5 linked regions of the Cricetulus griseus genome follow. The main gene of each other region encodes a partner of the protein of the gene in region 2 in a complex. Links are inferred from orthologs where the notes say so. Each region holds a gene or a part of one and is shown on either strand. Other genes may lie near its edges. The genes, in order: Gtse1, Cltc, Dlgap5, Cltb and Arrb1.

The links.
Region 1: the proteins of Cltc (region 2) and Gtse1 are in contact, whole or in part, in a crystal structure (PDB 6QNP), measured with the Homo sapiens proteins. The link is inferred for Cricetulus griseus from reciprocal best matches to the Homo sapiens genes CLTC and GTSE1. Residues at the interface, in NP_004850.1 of Homo sapiens: Val50, Arg64, Pro65, Ile66, Ser67, Ala68, Leu82, Lys83, Ala84, Thr87, Gln89, Phe91, Asn92, Ile93, Lys96, Ser97, Lys98, Asp143, Arg144, His145, Trp164, Gln182, Leu183, Tyr184, Ser185, Arg188, Lys189, Val190, Ser191, Gln192; in NP_057510.5 of Homo sapiens: Ser686, Arg687, Pro688, Leu689, Ile690, Asp691, Leu692, Met693, Ser707, Pro708, Val709, Val710, Gly711, Gln712, Leu713, Ile714, Asp715, Leu716, Ser718.
Region 3: the proteins of Cltc (region 2) and Dlgap5 are in contact, whole or in part, in a crystal structure (PDB 7ZX4), measured with the Homo sapiens proteins. The link is inferred for Cricetulus griseus from reciprocal best matches to the Homo sapiens genes CLTC and DLGAP5. Residues at the interface, in NP_004850.1 of Homo sapiens: Val50, Arg64, Pro65, Ile66, Ser67, Ala68, Leu82, Lys83, Ala84, Thr87, Gln89, Phe91, Ile93, Lys96, Ser97, Lys98; in NP_055565.3 of Homo sapiens: Gly833, Asn834, Leu835, Ile836, Thr837, Phe838, Ser839, Pro840, Leu841.
Region 4: the proteins of Cltc (region 2) and Cltb are in contact, whole or in part, in a cryo-EM structure (PDB 6SCT), measured with the Sus scrofa proteins. The link is inferred for Cricetulus griseus from reciprocal best matches to the Homo sapiens genes CLTC and CLTB. Residues at the interface, in NP_001139599.1 of Sus scrofa: Gln1291, Arg1293, Gly1294, Phe1296, Lys1326, Phe1327, Gln1354, Ala1355, His1356, Pro1382, Thr1383, Glu1413, Phe1414, Lys1415, Pro1416, Leu1417, Gln1444, Pro1446, Leu1447, Thr1473, Glu1474, Glu1475, Glu1503, Leu1504, Ile1505, Arg1508, Leu1533, Lys1535, Met1538, Lys1562; in XP_005661527.2 of Sus scrofa: Pro100, Ser102, Trp106, Gln110, Leu114, Ser121, Thr124, Glu125, Trp128, Arg129, Ala132, Asp135, Leu136, Trp139, Val147, Asn150, Lys151, Asn154, Arg155, Asp158, Tyr162, Glu191, Trp192, Lys194, Val195, Leu198, Cys199, Asp200, Phe201, Cys209.
Region 5: the proteins of Cltc (region 2) and Arrb1 are in contact, whole or in part, in a crystal structure (PDB 3GC3), measured with the Bos taurus proteins. The link is inferred for Cricetulus griseus from reciprocal best matches to the Homo sapiens genes CLTC and ARRB1. Residues at the interface, in NP_776448.1 of Bos taurus: His12, Leu13, Gln14, Gln16, Asn17, Leu18, Gly19, Val50, Asn56, Asp57, Pro58, Ser59, Asn60, Ile62, Arg63, Arg64, Pro65, Ile66, Ser67, Ala68, Lys78, Ile80, Leu82, Lys83, Ala84, Thr87, Gln89, Phe91, Asn92, Ile93; in NP_776668.1 of Bos taurus: His30, Ile31, Asp32, Leu33, Val34, Glu35, Pro36, Pro96, Thr98, Arg99, Tyr173, Pro175, Lys355, Thr374, Asn375, Leu376, Ile377, Glu378, Leu379, Asp380.

The regions. Positions count from the first base shown.
Region 1 is NC_048595.1:382,678,625-382,682,489, reverse strand, and holds the end of Gtse1 (G2 and S phase-expressed protein 1), read right to left. Parts: intron 3,376-3,865; coding exon 3,139-3,375; intron 1,996-3,138; coding exon 1,785-1,995; intron 1,391-1,784; coding exon 1,175-1,390; intron 743-1,174; coding exon 659-742; 3' UTR 331-658; downstream 1-330. UniProt on the Homo sapiens protein: May be involved in p53-induced cell cycle arrest in G2/M phase by interfering with microtubule rearrangements that are required to enter mitosis. Overexpression delays G2/M phase progression.
Region 2 is NC_048600.1:99,949,386-99,953,250, reverse strand, and holds part of Cltc (clathrin heavy chain 1), read left to right. Parts: intron 1-459; coding exon 460-602; intron 603-850; coding exon 851-1,085; intron 1,086-2,683; coding exon 2,684-2,806; intron 2,807-3,865. UniProt on the Homo sapiens protein: Clathrin is the major protein of the polyhedral coat of coated pits and vesicles. Two different adapter protein complexes link the clathrin lattice either to the plasma membrane or to the trans-Golgi network.
Region 3 is NW_023276807.1:203,456,544-203,460,408, forward strand, and holds part of Dlgap5 (disks large-associated protein 5), read right to left. Parts: coding exon 3,779-3,865; intron 1,228-3,778; coding exon 1,034-1,227; intron 857-1,033; coding exon 794-856; intron 1-793. UniProt on the Homo sapiens protein: Potential cell cycle regulator that may play a role in carcinogenesis of cancer cells. Mitotic phosphoprotein regulated by the ubiquitin-proteasome pathway.
Region 4 is NC_048596.1:273,637,932-273,642,379, reverse strand, and holds the start of Cltb (clathrin light chain B), read left to right. Parts: upstream 1-1,424; 5' UTR 1,425-1,523; coding exon 1,524-1,713; intron 1,714-4,448. UniProt on the Homo sapiens protein: Clathrin is the major protein of the polyhedral coat of coated pits and vesicles.
Region 5 is NC_048596.1:99,979,935-99,984,374, forward strand, and holds the start of Arrb1 (beta-arrestin-1), read right to left. Parts: upstream 3,059-4,440; 5' UTR 2,837-3,058; coding exon 2,781-2,836; intron 135-2,780; coding exon 104-134; intron 1-103. UniProt on the Homo sapiens protein: Functions in regulating agonist-mediated G-protein coupled receptor (GPCR) signaling by mediating both receptor desensitization and resensitization processes.

The sequences.
Region 1 (3,865 bases), on a different chromosome or scaffold from region 2:
GCCCCAGGGAAGAGAGCTGCAGGCTCAGCCCCTATATTGTTGAAGTAGACCTTCCTTCTCCCTTTATTCTCTGCACTTTAGCTACCCAGAGCCACCTGTGAAAGGTGTGGTCCTTAGACCACTACATCAGAATTAGCTAACTGTATTAATAATGCAGGCTATTAGGCCAGCCTGGATGACAGGCGGTCAGAGACTGATGTTTATACTAGTTTTATTATCCTACATTTTATAAAATTAAGGCTGGATAATGAGTCTCCTATAATGTCTGGAGAAATGGAAACAGTGCTCCATGCCCAAACATCAAGTATATAAAAAAAAAATCAAGCATACTTTAATATACTGTACTTTATAATTTAATTTAAATCTGGAATATTTAACTTTTCAAACAAATTTAAGTTTACAAACAGTCATTTGCTATTTTACATACAAAAGAATCAAAACAAAGTTTTTAGAGAGGTGTGTTCAAGCCTAGAGGAAAGGCAGGGAGCAGGACAGCCACACAGGTGGATTGCTTATATCCACAGTGGAGAATCCCACCCGGGCACCGTTCCAGACACAAGCCTCCCCCGAATCAAATACAGTTCCTTTCAAAATTTGCTTCTATGGGCCTAAAGCCACAACAGAAATAAACAGAGTAAAGGGCAGAGTTGTGCTTTGCTCAGAACTTGAGAAGTGGTGAATCCACATTTTCTTTGTCAGCCTCAGGGCTCAGATGGATCAGTGGGGAACCCAGGTCAATCAGCTGGAAGAGAACAGATACCAAGGTAAACACAGTTGCCTGGGCAAGCCATTGCACAAAAGACACAAGCAGGTCCAGTGGCTGATCCAGTCCCACTTGGAGCCCAGGGACAGAAAAACAACTCAGCACAGCAGCGAGGCCAAGGAGACTCAACCACCGTGTCTAAGACTCTTAGATAACCATCAAACCCATAAGCACTGTGTGACTCCCTGACACAGCAGGGAGGAACATGTGGTGTTGGGGATGTGACTGCTGCCCTGAGAGCTCCTCCAGGTCCAGCAAGATGCCTGATGGTAATGGGTGACCATAGAGAAGCCAAGTCTGCCCAACATGAGTTCGAGACACAAGCGCTGTGAGCCCCAAGGGCACCATGCAGGGCCCAGGTCTGATAGCACCCTGAGCTGAAGTCAGCATGAATTCCCTGCAGCTTCTCACCTGCCCAAGCTCAGCCTTTGGAGGTTTCCCCACATCATTTCTACCCATGTCTGGAGTATTCATTACAAGGTCAATCAGGGGCCAGCTGCTGGGTCCCAAAGCCATGTTGGACTCAGGGGTGTTGCTGAAGTCTATGAGAGGGCGGTCAGCTAGGTCTCTGCCTCCTGCTTCAGGAGTGATGGTGAGTTGGTCCAGCTTGATGTCCAGGAGAAGACCCTAGGCAGGATGTGAAGAGAGGGGAAGTCCAGTACCACATTGGTGCCCAGCCACCACCCTGGGAAGCCAGGCTTTGCCTATGACTGAGGACTCACAGCCTGGGGCCCAAGGGAAAGGCTGGAGTGGACCCTGAGTGGGAGTAAACTCCCCTCTCGGCAGTGTACCCTCCCCATCCACAGCTTGTTCCTGCTCCTGTTCCCACCATCTGATCCCCCACCAACTCCTTTGTCAAACATTTCTTTAGTCCCTAGTCCTGAGCCCCCCCCCCCCCCCCCCCGAGTCTGCTGAAACCATAGGCCCAGCCACAGGGTGAAGGAGGAAAGGAACTGTGAGTCCCTGTCTGTGACTCTCCATGAACCTCAGATGGCATATAACTGCAGCCAGCTCCATGTACCTCAGTGGGGCTTGTGTTGTCTTCATGAGGCTCTGTTTCACCCTGAGCTGCCTCTGTGGTGGAGCCATGGGAAGGAGGAGATTCACTCTTGTTTGGAGAAAAGTCAAGTGCTTGAGGCACACAGGATGGAGCAGAAGAGCTCTCATCTGAGGACTGACCTTGGCCCTGCCCACCATTGGCATTGCTCCTGCTCTCCTGGGTCGGCTCCACTCTGGGGAGGAGAGTAGGGGAAGCTGTAAGATCTTTCTAACACACCTTTCATCAGCTATGGCGTGAAAGCGATCGCTGAAGCAGCACCCGACCAGGGCCAGAGGCCTGCTCCAGTGGCCTAACTCTAAGGACAACCTCAATGGTTAGACCCTGATCTCTGTGCAAGAGGCCCAGAGATTTCCAAGGCTCCTTTCACTTCTCCAATGTTATCAGTTGAGTGTCACCTTGTGCCATGCCAGTCCTTTTCTTTTATTTATTTATTTTTTTATTTTTTGTTTTTTTTTTTGAGACAGAGTTTCCCTGTGTAGCTTTGGAGCCTGTCCTGGCACTCGCTCTGGCCTCAAACTCACAGAGATCCGCCTGCCTCTGCCTCCCAAGTGCTGGGATTAAAGGCGTGTGCCAACACCCGGCCAGCATCAGTCCTTTTCTTTAAAGCTACTAAAATTACATAGGAGGGGTTCCACCTCTGCCCACAGGCTGTGGTTAGCCCCCTCCAGGCCTAGGTGAGCCAATCGCCTGCTGCTGGAGTGCCCTCCCACTGCTCCCTCAGGAGGCCTGGTCCTGCACTCTGGTCTGACACGGCAGTCTGTCTACCACACGCCCGGCACTAATGGGTACACCTGGTATACCGTGCACAACCTCTAGTCCAGCCTATTTCTTGTCTCCTATCTGGCACCAAGCATAGCCCTGAGCACCTGATGCGGTAAAGCTAAATGAACTGTGGAAACGGTGAACAGTAGCAATATCCACAAACTAAAACAGAATACACACACACACACACACACACACACACACACACACACACACACACACACACATTATGCTTACACACACACACACACACACACACACACACACACACACACACACACACACACCACACACACACACACACACACACCACACACACACACACCACACATCATGACACAAGAAACACATAAGACACAACAGACTCTCACATGCGCACACATGCAGGACCTCTGCTTCCCCCCACACACCTCTGCCTATTTGCAAGCAGAATCTTGTGTTTCACAGAGCTTCTTTTTCTATTTCTCCTATCTGCTGCCTGTACCTTACCAGCACAGGGACCCCTGAGGTCTGGGGAACTACAGACAAAAGCTCACTCAACCCTTGTTTTTACCTGACTGTAGATCTTCTTCTGGGCTCAGAAGAAAGTCGCCTGGCAGGCACACAGAGTGGGGATGCCAGAGCCCTGGGCATGGACTGAGGTGCCATTAATGGAAGGCCAGAGAGGCGCCGACTGGCAGGGGTGGGCAGTGTTGACATCCGTCTCATGCTCACAGGGGTCCTCATACTGCCGGGCAGCCCTTGTTGAGTGGGCCCCAATGAGCGTCTCACAGGGGTGCTGCTGAGGACCCTGGTGAAGACATGGAGATCTTAAACAGACACCAAAGTTGGATAGAGCCTGAGTGGGCTGTTCTTGGGAAGGGGCTGCATGGGCAGGACTCAAGGTGGCAGCCCCCAGGAGACCTTGGATGAGTTCCAGGTTCCTCTGCAAACAATGCCTCCACCCTGCCCCACAGGTAACTACATCTTTGAACATGGCTGCCTTTATGGTGCCATCCATGGAAGAGTCAGAGGGACTTAAGGAGATACTCATTCCAGGAGATTTTCTCTAAAAAGACATCTGGGCTCCCATCACTCCGGCAGGTAAACATGGTGGTTTTCACCACTTGCCCAGCCATACCCAGGTTTAAGATCCCCATCAAAGGTGAGAACTGAGTCAGGGAACAGTGCTTCCTGGCAGTTCCCATGCCTTAACCACCATCTGTTCCAAATGTTACTTTGTTGTTCTTAAACCAGAGGCTATGGACTAAATGTTTCCATCCCCCAAATTCATATGTTGA
Region 2 (3,865 bases):
GAACAGAAAACCACTATAGTTGAAGGAGTTGTGAAATCTAGGAACCAAACCCCAAGCACGTGTCTTAAACAATGTTAGATTTAGGTTTTAGAAACTTTGTCTTTTAACTTTAAAGGTATTCTAGCAGGGCTTTTTTGCTGTAATTGAAGCTTTTGCACTTGGTAATCTTCCATGGTTGTCTTGGCTGCTGTTGGTTTTGTACTTAGCATTTGGAGTAATCCTTAGGTAGAACTAAGTAAGCAAACCAACATGGGAGTCTATGGGGCAAGTGCTTTCAATTCTGACCAGACTCTGGGGCCTTTCTAAAAGTGGACTTACGCTGATAAATCTCTGCATCTGACTGGAAATTTAGATTCACAGTTTATGGGCTTTAAAAAGAAAACGGTCTTTTAGATTTTTAAGTCAGTTTTGCTTGTTGATGAAATGATGTGCTTTTTATTTTCTCTTTTCTAAACCTAGGTAAATCCAAGTCGACTCCCCGTGGTTATTGGAGGGTTGCTTGATGTTGACTGCTCAGAAGATGTTATTAAAAATTTGATTCTCGTTGTGAGAGGTCAATTCTCTACTGATGAGCTTGTGGCTGAAGTTGAAAAAAGAAACAGGTGTAGTACTATTTTTCCACATTACAACAGATGACCTTGCAGCCCCAGTAGTGTAGTAATAGCTGACATACAGCTGACTGATGATCTGAAGCTGCTCGGCAGCTAATGGAAAGGGCTCAGGCTAGCTTTCAGAGTTGAAATTGGCCTTTTTTTTTTTTTTTTTCCCTGAAATGTGACTATATTTCTATAGTTACCAGAGGATTGTGCCGTTTGTAACATAGCATGTTGGGGCTTTGTTGTTTCACTAGATTGAAGCTGCTTCTACCTTGGCTTGAGGCCAGAATTCATGAGGGCTGTGAGGAACCTGCTACTCACAATGCATTAGCCAAAATATACATCGACAGTAATAACAACCCTGAAAGGTTTCTTCGTGAAAACCCCTATTATGACAGTCGTGTTGTTGGAAAGTATTGTGAGAAGAGAGACCCACATCTGGCTTGCGTCGCTTATGAACGTGGCCAGTGTGACCTGGAACTCATCAATGTAAGTACTACTTGCTGAGCATGTGCAAAGGCGGCTGTATCCCTTTAACTGCTTGTATTTTTGACTAGCAAAATTTGAATTTCTGTATGATTTTAGGTATTTTGGAGCAGTTCTGGGCAGAGAGGTGCTTTTTTAAAACTTTAACTGGAAATAAGTAGTAAACCTAAATGTGCTCAAAATGTAAAGTGTGTATATACTCTTTCCTGATCTGGCATGTTAACTCTATTAGCTTTACCTGTTCTTGTACATGGTCATACATACCTGAACATAGCATTTTACCTGTTACATACTTCATGGATTTGTGCCCCTTTGAGCTCTATTTTCTAAGGATGAAAAAGTATCTTCACATAGATACTAGCTACAGTCAATATGACATTAGGTACTTTGAAGGATCTGTTTTCTTTCAGTGTTGTCAGGTTTTTGTGTAGTTTAGGATCATAATTATGTCCTCTGTAGTATTTTTATAATGAATCAGTTCTTAGAAATGTATTTTTTTTTTAATGATGGATACCTTTGCTAAACTCCTAATTTTATTTGTATTCTCTTAAAAAATTTTATTTGTGGAATAAAAGCCAAAATTTCCATTTTTAAAAATGTCTTTTTAAAAAAAGACATTTATTTATTATATATATAGTATTCTGCTTGCATGTTTGTCTGCAGGCCAGAAGAGGGCACCACATCTTATTACAGATGGTTGTGAGCCACCATGTGGTTGCTGGGAATTGAACTCAGGACCTCTGGAAGAGCAGTTATTGCTCTTACCTTTGAGCCATCTCTCCAGCCCCCAAAGTTTTCAATGTGAAGTAAACAATTAAGTGGCTATTAGTTAATACACAGTGTTACATAATCACTATTCTTGCCCACCTTTCAGGGTCTCATCATTAAGGAAGAGGTCCTCTTTTCAGTAAAGCTTCTCTATACTCCTGCTTCCCACGAACCCTCACAAATGACAAATCACACTGAACCCCTGTGGGTTTGTCTGTTCTGTATGTTCTGTAAACTAAATGTTTATTTTATTTTATTTTTTGCACATGCATGTGGAAGTTGGGGACAATTTGTAGGAATCTGTTGTCTCCTTCAACTGTATGTGTGCCTGGCCAAAAGTAAAGCATTTCTCATTTTGAGTTTCCCTGTATTACTTCCTAGCCTTTGGGCTACAATCAAGTACTTCTGTAATGGTTCTCTGTGGTGGGATTTAGATCACACACTTCTACTGGGAATACTCTTGCTCCCACCCCACCCTATAATTTAAAGTAATACAATATTAATAATGTTTTAACATCGAAAGTAAGCTGAGTATGGTAGTGAATGTGTGTAATTCCAGCAGGGAGATAGGTTTTTGAAGCTCTGGTACATGAGACCACCATCTCAAAAAAGTAAGCAGATTGTATAATGGAATCCTTTCTTAAAGCCCCTGAAACTTTTTTTTTCCTTTGTTGGGTTTCCATGAGAATATGTGACTGGCATCCCTAAGAGATTATATAGAAGTAATAGATTTCTTACAAAACAAAGAGTTGACATGATTGCAAATAACGTTCAGAGTCATCTGCAGTCTTTTTACTTTTTGTGTTGAAATTAACCCTTGCTATTTTCATTAGGTTTGCAATGAGAATTCCCTGTTCAAAAGTCTTTCCCGCTACTTGGTCCGTCGAAAAGATCCAGAATTGTGGGGTAGTGTGCTACTGGAAAGCAATCCATACAGAAGACCACTAATTGACCAGGTAAAAATGGCAAAAATGGTTCCCTTCCTTTTGACTTGGAATACTTTCCTCTCATTATATACCTAGATAAACTCAAATGAGTCATTTAACTATAGCAGAAAGCAGAAGTTAAAGAACATTAAAATTATATTAAATAAATACAAAATTATACATAGATATACATTAAATTTAAGGAAAGAGAAATCTAAAAATGTAATTATCTTAAGTTCATCATCATTAAAAGGAAATAAATTAGGATTGACTACAAATTACTACCTGAAAAGTTGACTAAATTGAAGACGTTTAAAACATCTCTTCTTGTAAGTCAGCACACAATAAGAATTGATAATATATAATACAAAAATCCAAGTGACTTGGAGGAGGGGAGATGATGACTATGAGTGAATCATGAGCCTATCTCCAATTCTTTTTTAAAAGTCCAAGTAAGTGTCATGGAGATGGTTCCATTGGCAAGCACGAAGACCTGAGTTCACATCCATCCCTATCACCCACATACAAGCTGGGCTTAGGGGTCCCTGTATTTAACCCTAGTCATAAGTAGACAGAGACAGGAGGACCTCTGGGACATCCTGGTCAGCTAGTGCAGTCAAAGTGGATGAGCTCCAGCTTTAGGGAGAGACTTCTATCAAAAGTAGAGAGTGAGCGGGCTGGAGAGATGGCTCAGAGGTTAAGAGCACCGACTGCTCTTCCAGAGGTCCTGGGTTCAGTTCCTGCAACCACATGTTGGCTCACAACCATCTATAATGAGATCTGGTGCCTTCTTCTAGTGTGCAGATATACATGGAAGCAGAATGTTGTATACATAATAAATAAAATCTTTAAAAAAAAAATAGAGAGTGAGCAAGACACCTGGTATCAAGACACTTTGATACATGCACATGCACCTGAACGCATTGATGCACACAACCACAGTAATAGTACCTAATAGCACACACAATGCTCAAATCAATCATAGTGAATCTAACTAAAGTACCACAGTACACAAGTTTTTATACCTATATGATAATTGCAATCTCAAATTTAAAGTGCTAGTTATTGCTCATTATTATAATGATTCTT
Region 3 (3,865 bases), on a different chromosome or scaffold from region 2:
CCCAACACTGCTGGGGGCAGAAAAAAAACAAATTACAACAGCAAAAAAATCTCTGAATTTTACATTTCCATTTCTCCTAGGCAGAAAGCTTTTTCTTGGGGTTCCCTCACTTCCTTTAAGACTTCACCCCACTTGTAAGCATCTCAGCAAAGCTTTCCTGAACTACTCCAACTAAAATGTCACTCAATGTCTTCGCTTCCTGCCATCTCCCATCTCCCATACCGATTTTATTTCTAGGCCTACAGTAGCACCAAACCCCCCCAGAATTTTATTCAGTACTGTAAGTATCCCAGAGGCTAGAGAAGTTAAAGGAACATGACAATGTCTCCAATATTAAAAACATGAAACTTAGCTTCTTTACTTGACAAAAAGTCATGCCCAATTCCCACCTAACATACTTAATCCTCTCCCAAAGCCTTCCTTCATTGCTGTATTTAGAGGACCCAGAAATGTATTGAAGTCCACTCTGTGCTTTTCTCACTCTGATCTGCATTTCATGCAGTTAGTTTGCAATGCATACTAGCAGCACAGTAAACAAACAGCAGCATAAAGATGAAGTCTGGGATGGATTACATTAAGAGATGCTTATGCAAAGGATATTGTGAGTGCAAACTTTCTTGGCATCTAGCCAGAAACTGTTCTAAGTCACCACTGATTTTCATACTTTCAATTCAGACAAATAAATCACTATGTCTGCAACTGATTTTTGGTTGAATATGGAATTACAAATTTTTGAAGGGGGAAAACGGTACAATATGTTATTTTCGTAGCAATTATCTTTACACAATGATACCTTAGTGTGTTCCATATGGTCTCTGGCCTTTGATCTTGTAATACGCCCATTGTATGGACAAACCTTTAAAAAGTTAAAAAAAAAAAAAAGATCAATTTAAAAAACAAACAAACAAACAGGCAAAATTTATTCCATGTCTCAGTTTAAAATTGAAACTTTCCCCTAAATTAAGTAGTTATTTGTTTTGTTGCAAAATTAAAGGAATTGACTGTCTGTTTTAAGTTAAAACCATAAACACACCTTTTCTGGCTCAGCTTTCACACTCCTCTGGTCTGCGATGAGAAAGCCAGGTGCAGCAGGTCTGTAGAGCCCCACTTTAAACACGCCTCGCTTAGCTTTCTCTCGTTGCTCTTTCAGTTTTTGAAGTTGCTTTTCTTCTTTGTATTTCTGAAGGAGCTGTTTCCTTTGGTCACTCAGGACCATTTTCTCTGACTCTTAAGGGGAGAAGGGTGTCAAACAACAGTCCATAAAACATTTTAAACAAACTATTACCAAAACATTTTTGGTTGTTTTGGGTCTTCTTTTTTTTTTTCCTTATTTTTCCAGACAGGATTTCTCTCCGTGTAGCCTTTGTTGCTCTGTAAACCAGGCTGGCCTTAAACTCAGAGATCCGATTGCCTCTGCCTCCCAAGTGCTAGGATTAAAGGAGTGTGCAACCACTGCCTGGCTTACATCAAATTTCTAAAAGGACATTTTGTCTAATTTCATTTGCTAAGAAATGCTTTTAATCCTGTCCTGTTAACTCCTTAACACTGTAAAACGAGTTATTTCAAGCTCTAATCAGTTTGAAAACTGTAGTCATTGTGTATGCCTTCATTTGCAAAATTAGAAAAAATATTGGTGCATTGATTATGTCAGGCTGAATCACTCAAAGAACTTTAGAACAGGTCACTTGGTCTGCCTTTTCCTATATTCAACAAGCTTGAAAAATGTTGTTGGTATCTTTTGACATATACCTACAATCTATCACTTGAGAGACAGAAGCAAGAGGAACGAAGGGTCTTGGCTAGCCTGGCCTTAGCAATGCCAGGCCAGACAGGGCTATCTATTGAGACCTGGTCTCCAAAAACAAAAGGTTCTTTTGGGAGTCTACAGTTCAGCGGAAAGCACTTGCTTGTCTGCCTAGCCTGGGTGAGGCCCTAAGTTCAATCCCTAACACTTTGCAAACAAAACAAGTCTTTGGGAGTGATGCCATTCACACACAAAGTCCAAGAGGACAGCCTTCCTCACTGGGGCTCCAACTTTGGAATATACCAGCTCTTCCATTATTAGCCTTGCCTCCTTAGCCTCAATTTGTCTCTTAGCAACAATCCTGGGACTTACTACCTTGTTCTGTCCCTCCTTCACAAGTTTGCTGACCTCTGGTCTAAGAAGCATCATACCTTGGCCATTTCTTTGAATTTCATTTTCTCTATGAAGAACTCCCCCCATGTAAATTTTATAAGCTTTTCTGTGAACTGTCTCACACATTAATTAGGTTCTTAGACCCAGTTCAAGCCCACAAAAGATGTGGGCCCTTGATGGGATTTTTTTTTGTTTTTGCTTATTTCAAGTTTTTCACTTATTCCTAACCCCCACGTTTTGCTAGAGTAGAAATTACATCTAAGGGTTTTATTAGACTCAAGTTCAATCTTTGAAGCAAGAATATTATCCTAGGTGATATTTCCATTCTCTTTTGAACCCATTCCTATCTGGCTTTCCTTCACTCTTCCCAGCTTTCAGTCAGGGTCTCACTATATGTCTTTAATATGCTTCTGCCTCCCGAGTACTGGGATTAAAGGCATGAGCCACCACAGCAGGCCCCCAATTATTTTCTTAAAATCATCTCTCCTTACATGCCTAATAGGCATAACTTCAACATGTCCAACAGCAGGCAGTATTTATATATTTGTGCATACATACATATAAATGCATATGTATTTAATAATAATATAAGGCTATCAACTGGGGGGGGGGTTCAGGAGGGTTTGGAAGGATGATACCTAAGAACTGGAGGGAGGAAAGGGAAGGGAAAATGAGGTAATTCTATTTTAATTTAAAATTATTTTTTGTTTTTGTTTTTTTGAGACAGGGTTTTTCTGTGAAACCGTCCTGGCTATCCTGAAACTCATTCTGGAGACTAGGGTGGCCTTGAATTCAGAGAACCACCTGCCTCTGCCTCCCAAATGCTGGGATTAAAGGCATGTGCCACCACCACCTGGCCAAAAAGGAAAAACATGTCCAAAATTGAACTCTTAATTTTAAAATACCCTTTCCTAAAACTATTGTCTGCTACAATATTCACTCTGTATTTCAGTTGTGTTCAGACCACAAAAAAAGTCTCTAGGCCTTTTCTATTTCCTGAAAACTCTGTAGATAGGTAATTCTCTCTCTCCAAACAGGCCCAGTTCCTTTTTTCTTCTTCAAATATGTACTATTCACCTCAGATGAGAAGAAACAAAAACCGGCAACTATTTTGTTCAGCTTTTGCCCCTCACATTTCTTCAGAATCACAAAAACGACAAATTTGGAAGAGAGCTGGACATGGAGGCAGACTTTAATCTTCTAGCCCCAATACCACCTTTTATAAAACCAGGTTCAAATGCACTGGGTACACAGGCCACACTGATCCTGAAAAATTATAAAATAAAACTTCTAGGGGCCAGGAAGACAGCTCAACGACTGAAATGTTTGCTGAGCAATACTAACAACATTGACTGTGATCTCTGGAACCAATATAATGGTGGAAGGAGAGCTAAACTCCACAACACTATCCTCTGATCTCCACACACACAAGCCCGAGTATGTGAACCACAAGCATGCCGGAGCCTGTGGAGATCAGATGCCCTGGAGCTGGAGTTGCAGAGGGTTGTGAGCCTCCATGCCAGGAACTGAACCCAAGTCCTCTACAAGAACAGTAAGCACTCTTAGCTGTTGAGACATCTCTCCAGACCCACTTCAACTTACTTGGAAAAGTACTTACAATAATGAAAGGTCTTTACTTACTTGTTTTGGTACTGGCCTTTTCTGAAGCGAGGTCTTGCGACACCTCATGTATATTAACAAGCTCTTTCCCTTCCAGTGGAATGTTGG
Region 4 (4,448 bases), on a different chromosome or scaffold from region 2:
GCTCTAGAGGGAACCTAATACTGTTGTCTAACTGCCTTCTAAATATTTATGTTTATACCCATACATTAGTGTTGCTCTCAACTTTGGCCAGATAACCTTCTCTCTGCAGCGGTCAGCAGCTGATGCAGACCCATAACTAGTCAAAGTGCAGAGAATAAGCAATTGCCGAATGCCCAGCGCTGTGTGGGACATCGGAATCAACGCCACCAGCAAGGGCCAGGGAACACTGCAGAAGAGGAGGCAGAAAGAGTGTTACAAGGAGAGGCTGGGGACGAATGCTGGGAAATGCTGTTTGGGGGCTGACATCAACCACGTAACTTTCCACCAGGTGGCATTAATTGAACTCAGTGGGTTATTAACACAAAAAGGAGAGGCTATTAAGGGGGAGGGAGGTGTGTTGGGGATATCCCGGAGGAGTGAGATAGGAGAGAGGGGGTGCAAATGATCTGGATGTATTATTACTTGCATGTATGGAATTGTCAAAGAATTAAAAAAAATCCTCAAAAAAAAAAAAAAAAAAAAAGGTGCTATAGGTGCTATGAGCCCTGCATCTGGAAGGATGAGGCAGGAAGGTTTGAAACCAGACTCACCTATATAAGAATTCGAGGTCAGCCTAGCCTATGGCTATAATAAAAAATCAAAATAAATAAATAAATAAGAAAGAAAATGATGATTGAGGTGGGAGTGTGAGGCCTGGCATAGCATCGGCAGTCTCAAAACATATATTAATTACCAAGGAAAATAGCAACTTTACTGTGGAGAAAGCAGGCTCCACCTTAACAGAGTGAGTGACCAACGTGAGCGTAATTAATCAATAAAAGGACAAACTGACATTCTGCGCTAAGAACCGGGGGTCACTTTAAATCTGAATAACTATAAAGAAATGTAAGAGCTCAAAAAAAAAAAAAAAAAAAAAATCACTTCCCAGAGCCAGAGGCAGGCAGATCTCTGTGAGTTCGAGACAAGCCTGGTTTAGAGAGTGACAGCCTGCAAAGCCACAGAGAAACCCTGTCTCGAAAAACCAAAGCAAACAACCGGCCTGCTGCCTTCATGAACACCAATGCCACCAGACACAGGGAGAGCGGACCCCTCCTAGTTTCAGGGGACCGTCACAAGATAGGGCGGCGGGATGCTACACCGGACCAAGTGATCAAGGCTCTGCTGCACCGACCGGGCTCGCGAGTCCTCCCAGCCTCAGTGTCCTCCTCCCACGCAGGAGGAGGACGATCGTGTCACGCCGCTCATAAAACCGGCTGCAGAAGAAGCTTTGGGTGGCCGCGCAGCCCCGGTGCTCGGGAGCCGGCTGGGCTAGCGTGCCACGGGGGAGTGGGGGGCGGGGGCGGGCCCCGCGGCAGGGGCGGGGCGGGGCGACCGGCGGGCCCCGCCCTCTCCGTGACGTCACCGCATTCCCGCCGCGGCTCCTCCCGCCGCCGCTGCAGCCGCAGTGACAGGCGAGCCGGGCGGGTGACGGGAAGTGCGGGCCGCGGGCGCGGGCGGGAGGTGACAGCAGCCACGCGGGGAAGATGGCTGAGGACTTCGGCTTCTTCTCGTCGTCGGAGAGCGGGGCCCCCGAGGCCGCCGAGGAGGACCCGGCCGCCGCCTTCCTGGCCCAGCAGGAGAGCGAGATTGCTGGCATCGAGAATGACCCGGGCTTCGGGGCACCTGCCGGCGGCGGCCAGGTGGCCTCTGCGCAGCCGGGACTCGCGAGCGGGGGTGAGTGAGTGAGTGAGTCAGCGCCGCGGCCTGGAGCCGGGGCTGCGGCGGCCAGCATCGCGGGCAGGAGGCCCGTCCCGGTCGCAGCCGGCCGGGGTCCCTGCAGTGGCCCGGGCCCGGCTGTCTGGGCTGGCCACGGGCACCCGGGGGCTGTGTGTGTCCGTGGGGCCTGGCACAGCAGGGGGGAGCCGGGAAAGGGAGCCGGGAAAGCGGCCGGAGTCCGGGCTGAGGCTGGATCCGCTGACTCTGGGGACAGGAATCCCGTCGTGACATTTTATCCCCAGGCCAGCGCCTCCACCGTGTGGCTCTGCAGTCCTCCCCCTGCTCGGCTCTGAGAGTCATTCTCTGTCCAGTGTCCTAGCGAAGTGGTACAGGTGTGGACGGACGGACGGACGCAGTCCTCCTGACCAGGGCCCAGCCTTCCTTCTGCTGGGAGGCAGGGGGCACTCCAGGACCACCTGCTGCCCTGCAGCGCTGGAGGAGACATGTTAATTACATTTAGTAATTTCACACACACGCTCCTGAATCCATTTCAGAACTGGCCACAGGAAGCCTCAAAAGGTACGCTATTCAAACAGCTAGGAAGTAGCGGTCAAGTATTAAACCCATTCTGTCCGATTCTGAGTCCTTCGTATCCTGACCACACAGTCTTCCGTGTGTCGGGCTGTATGTAAGTCTGGACAGGGGCACAAAGGGCTATGAGTCCTACCCTTCCTGTTTGTAACCGTGTTTGGTGGATTTACGAAGGTGGTCCAGGACCTTTGTGGATGGTTTCAGACATAAGGGTGCAGGACCTGTTTCCTGCAATGTTATGTTTATCATTTATATTTCTGCCTCAAGGAACAATTTGTTAAATTTGTTAAATCCTGGGTACACGCCTAATAGACCTTGTTTCCTATGTTTTGTTGTAAGTCTAGAGAGGTTTAGTGGGCTTGTTGCAAATGAATATTACATGTATATGTTCACAAGGCTCTTTAACAGTCAGATCTCTTTCACTGAACGTTTTGCTGTGCTGCCATCCCCACTGGGGACACAGAATGAAGGAACCGGATCTATGGCTGAGGGGTTGAGTCAACTCTGCCAGGAGAAATGCAGTAACCCTTTTGTGACACACAAGAAACTGGAGTTTGAGGGGTTATCACCACAGCTCAGTGGGTAAAGGTGAACTGGTCTGATGACACCTGAGTTTGGTTCCTGGAACCCACATGTAAGAGAGAACTCACTGTCACACATTTGTGCACCGAAAACACACACACACACAAACACACACACACACACACACACACACACACACACACACACACGCACATATGAGTAAACAGTATAAATAATAATAATTAAAAGAAGAAGAAACTGGAGTTTGAGTATCTTGCCTAAGTTCACACAGCCATGAGTTGTGGCTCTGGGCACTTGATTTCAGTCCTCCTAGCTCCATACTATGTTATTCCAAAAACTGAGTAGTTCTGCCTAGAAGATGACAGAATGTGGCATGGAGAAGCAGGGACCTAACTAAGCCAGCCGTGCAGGCTCTCGGTTCTTCAGCACAGGCCCTTTATTTTCTCAGGGAACCTGCCCAGGCTCCTCCATGGAACTTACTTGTCCCCATATCAGGAGGTCTTTAGAAACTCATGAGAAAGACAGATGGAGTTCAGGCTGAGGATAGCCCTAGGGTCTGGGACTTAGCAAGCTGTGGTCTTTTCAGGGACTTAGAGCTGGACGGGAGTGCACTGTCTGATTAGGTTTGCTATGAGATGACAGGGAAAGAGACAGTGAGTGATAATCCTTTGGGAAGCTGCCAGGGACACAGCCCTCTGAGAGTCTTCCAGACTCCTACACGTGATGTTGCAGGTGCCCAGCTGCCCTCCTGAGTGGCATTTTGAGGAACAAGGAGGTACTTCAGGAGCAGAGCTCAACGGGTGTGAGGCACAAACAGAATGCACCTGATGCTCTTAAGCCTAGGCAACGCTAGGCAGCCATCCTTTTCTGAGCAGCAGGGATTGGCAGGAGCCTTGGTGGTCTGAGGGAAATGGCTTGGGCCTTCTGGGAGCTGGGAAGAAGCAGGCTCCAACAGCAGCCACCAGTGCAAACTGAGTTACCTCCCCTTAGACGATGGGGTCTTCTGATGAGCAGCTCCTATGCTGACTTAACTAATGCGGGCTCTCAGGAGGCCCTGGGGAAAATCCTGTCTGGCCCCAACTGAGCCTGCTCTGGTAGCAGATCTGCAGCAGGCTTGGGGCATCGACACTTTGTTTCCATTCATCAGCCTTGGGTAGGGCCCAAATGGGCTACATTTTCACACCCAGTGTTCCGGGCTCTTGGCCTGCCTGACTTGTGGGCCAGCTCTGTGTAATCCTGTTGCCCCTGCTGGGCCTCAGTAAGCTCACAGGAATGTTCTGGATTCCCAAATGGGTCAGGCATCTGAGGAGGTCCCACACGGAACAGCTTATCCTTGGGGCTTGTGTTTGCCTTGCTGTATTTATTCTGTGGGCTCTGTTGTGGACTCAGGATCATAAATGTGTAAGAGCCAGAGAACACTGTGGAATAGACACTGGTGATTCTGTGAGTGGGTGTGTATACAGTCCCCAGGAGGCTGACAATGCTCCATCTTTCTGGAGGCTGAGGTGGGCACCAGGAAACTCATGTGGCCTTGACAGGAGAGGTAGTGCAACTTCTCCAAAGGTGTTGCCACAGAATCAGGAATGGTCCCTGGCAAGTGTGCTACCACTCATACCTGT
Region 5 (4,440 bases), on a different chromosome or scaffold from region 2:
TAACAGTGCCTGTCTCTCCCAGGAGATGCTGCTTCCTTTCCTAATCCACAGAGGCACCCAGAGTGTGGGAACAGTGAGGAGTCAGCACACACTACAGACTCACCTTTCCATTGGGGCTTGCCTTCTTGAACACTCTGTGAAAAGAAAGAGAGGCCAAGCCAGGGTTAATGGATTCTGCCCAGCCAATCTCTTGCAGGCGACCCTAGACAGGGCCATAGATAAAGGCCTTGAGTGTCCTACAGGGACCAGCAAAGCCTCAGAGCAGGACAGCTTCCTTCCTTCCACCTCTCCTCCTAGGATGAATGTTAGCTGCCTGCAGCCCTCCTTCAATCCTTCAGAGTGGGCTGAGGGAGACTCACAAGCCCACCCAGCTCGAGTAAAGGAAAATCCTTCAGTGCCTGCTAAGTCCCAGTGATCTGACCTGGCCTCTTTCCCTCCCTATGTCACCTCCTGCCACCCTCCCTTAGTCTCCAGCCTCACTGCTCTCCAGCCCCTCTGTTCCTCGTTCCTTATCCACCAGGTGATTGCTGCACAAGGCCTTTGCTCCCAGTTTCCCCTACCCTACTCTCTTACCCTGGACACTCTTCCCAAATGCCCACTTTCCCAATCCCACTACCCCTGTCAGCCAGTCCTTCTCTTGATTCACTCTTCCTTTCTTCCCAGCAACCCCCTGACCATATACTTTACTTCTTGCCCCACCTGTCTGCTCTGCTGGCATGCCCGCTCCAAATATGCCCACTGTCTCTCCTGTCCACGGGTACATCCCAAACACACACAAAGGCACACGTCACTATTGTTCAAGAAATACTTGTTAAATGATTGAGGGTGGCAAGAGTACAATATAAACTAGTTGAACAGATAAATGAATGAATTTCATTGCTTCACTGAGGGACAGAGGCACAGGAATGTGGGGGCAGATGCCTATGCTCGAATAGCAGAGCACTGGGCCTGAGATTAGATGGTAATGTAGTCCCTAAATCCTGAAGAGTGCCACTTGCCTTTCATGGCAACCTTTCCCCTTCTAGAGCTGTGTCTGGGAACCCGAGTCTCCCTCGCCTAAGTACCTTTATCCAGCCCACAATTTCTCAGCCATTACTGGGGAGAGGCAGAAGAAAAGTGAAAGCTAGAGAGATGGGGATGAGGAAAGGTATTGAAAGGAGGGGAGGTGTGAAGAGAGAAGAGAGAGACAGAGGTAGAGGTATGAAAATAAAAGATGAACAAGAGACAGGAGGAGAAGAAAACCAGGGAAAGAATCAGAAAGCCTGAAGCAGGGAGAGATGGGACAGACCCAGAAAGGTGAAACCCCTAGGCAGCCTCAGCAGGGTGTGCCCCAATCCTTCCCAGAAGCTGATCTGCAGGCATCCAGGCCTGTGACTGTGTGGGGTCTCCACAGCCATGGCCCTGCCTCACCCTCCCTTCTGGGACCTAGGGAATATTGACAGGTCTGAGTATTGCTTGCAAAGGAGAGCGTGGCCCAGCCTCTCCCCAAACATTCCCCTAGGGGCCCTGGGAGCCTTGTCTTCTCATTAATATTTATCAGTGTTGGGAGTGTGAAGAAGCCACAACTGGCCAGGGTGTGATAATTGTTAAAGTAAGGGGAAAAAAATGCAGACCACTCCATCTGAACCAGCAACTCCAAGCTAGAAGCTAGGAGCTCCATGTTTCTCCAGGAAACCAGAGAAGTGAAAACCCTGTGGCTTCCAAGTCACAATTACCTCCAGCCCTTGGTAGCCTGTGCTCTAAGGAAAAGGAAAGATCTCACACCCAGGCAGGATAAACAACTGAGAGAGAAAGCCACTCTAGTGGCTGCCGGGAAGGACGAGGCACACGTGGGGCCAGGAGGAGCAATATTCACCAAGCAGCGGAGAGAGGCAAAGGGGAGGGGAATTAAAGCTCTGCCGAGCAGCTCATTATTTCTCATAGTAGAAAGGATAGTCTAACTCCCACTCCACAGATAATTAACTGGAGGCTCCAAGCGATGCATTAACTTGCCCAGGAGCACAGCAAGCAAGGGGCTAGGTCGGGACCCAGACTCACTTCTGACTGGGCCTCCAGAGATTGGTGCCTTAATCCAACCCACTGTTTCCTAAATCCATGTTTCAAAACGGCAGGAAGAACAGACAAGAGGGGAGGGAGAGAGGGATAAATGAAAGGTGACTGGGGTGAGGGGCAGAGTGGGGCTGAAGAGGGGCAGGAAGCACAGCCATCAGTGGGGAATGTCCTGCCACTACCTTAGTCAGCACCCGAGGCCACCTCCTTCAGGAAGCCAGGACTCTTGTGGCTTCCTCAAACAACAAGAGCAGCTGCCTCATTCTCTGTCTGTTTATTATTCCCCACTCATGCCTTTAAGTACTTTTCCCAGGACAAGGCTCTTCCTGGACAATCCCATTTCAAAGATGGAGACATTGAGGCTCGAAGAGGCACCCACGAGACTCAACCACTCCATCACATAGCCAAGCACCACCACTCAAAACTCCACTCACTTCTTGCCCCAACACTGTCAGAAAAGAGGCTCTATGGGGTATTTTCCGTTTCCACAACCCCACGTGTGCAACACCGCATAGACCTCTCTGCCCGTGGCCTAACCTAAGCCCACAATCCCAGCCAGCCTTGCTGAGCAGCTGCGTCTGTTCACCCCCAGCCTTGCCTGTGCCCCACAACCTGAGCCTTAGTCACAGCTGGGTTCCCCAAAGAGAAAGACCAGCAGTGTCCTTCCTGGTTAAGGTTCAGGATAGCTCGAGAAAGAAGAGGAGGTCCTAATAAGGAGGCCAAAATCTCACGGGAAGGATGAGCAGGCAGGATGCGCTGGGGCCGGAGCTGAGAATGGGGACGCCATCGGAGCCTCAAGCCGTAGCTCCCTGTCTCCACCGCTCCTTCTGGGGCTGCTGCAGGGCCTCCTGGCTGCGAGGCTGTCTGTGCGGCTGCTCCATTGTCTCTGTGGACCAGCGCGCCCCGCTTACTCAGGGATTTTTCTGCTCCTCCATCCTTTGGGCTCGCATGTGACTCACACTCCAACCCTGTTTCTACCCTGCCTCTCACTCAGCTTCCCGCTGCTAACTGACTGAATGGCCCAATTCCAAATTCCCAGGAGAGGAATCTGATTGGTCAGCTTTGATTAGGTACCCCACCCCCTGGCCCAATCACCTGTGTCCAGGACATAGCCTGTGGTCCATGAAGCATGAGCAGAAGAGGCTCTGGAGATTAGTATTGTCCAAACCAGAGGTTGCAAGTCACTGGTTGATTAGGAAACCTACTTAAAACATTACAGGTCGGAGAGCTGGCTCAGTGGATAAATCGCCTGCTTCACAAGCATGAGGACTTGAGTTCAGATGCCCAGTACCCATGTAAAAGCTATATGTGGCAGGCTGCACCTGTAACCTCAGCACTGGGAAGGCAAAGATAGGCAGATCCCGGGGGCTTCTGTGGCCACACAGTCTGGCCTACATAAAGAGCTCTGGGTTCACAGAAAGCTCCATGTTTAGTGATGGGCCCTGTTTCAAAAAATTAGGTGAAGAATGATAGTGGAAGACATCCATAGTTGACCTCTAGCCTCTACGCACACATACACATACAGTACGTACATACACAGAGATCCTTTTTTTTGAGGCAGGGTCCTGGAACTCAAATACAAACAAGCTGGCTTCAGACTCACAGTGATTCTCCTGCCTCTGCCTCTCAGGTGCTGGGATTAAAGACATGCGCTCCTATGCCTGATTATATTTTGAGGTTGGTTGTTTGTTTTCAAGACAGGGTCTCACAAATGTAGCTCTAGCTATCCTGAAACACACTATGTAGACCAAGCTAGCCTCAAACTCAGAGATCCTCCTGCCTCAGCCTCATAAGTGCCACTACACCTGGCTTTATTTTTTGATTTTTAATGAAATGGGATGGACTAGACTATAGAAACAAGTGCTACAGGCAACAAAGATGTACTAGATACTCCCTACAGGCACCAGGATTCCCTGAGGCTGGATGTATGGGATGCCAGGCATCTTCCTTCCTGTGGAGTTGGACGCCCCCCTGTGGCTTATTCTGACCAATGAAATGCGGGTGCAAATGTCACATGCCACTTTCAGCCAGAGGCACAGAAGGAACCATCCATGGGTCCCCAAACCCTTCAAGCTCATTTTCTGTGGCTGCTATTTACAAAGTCCCACGAATTCAGTGGCTTCAAACAACACAAACTTAACTAGAGTTCTGTGCTTCAGAAATTCAAGTGGGCTTCCTTGAGCTAAAATCAAGGTGTCAGCAGCCCTTGATTACTTCTGGGGGGTTCTAGGGCAAATCTGCTTCCTACTCTCTCTGGCTTCTGGAAGCCTCCTCCTTCCTCCATCTTCAAAGTCAATGAGAGAAGGTGGCCTTCTCATTATATACGGCATCACTCAGATCTGCCCTCCCTTTCCTTTTGAAAACCATTGAGATGACACAGGGACCATCTGG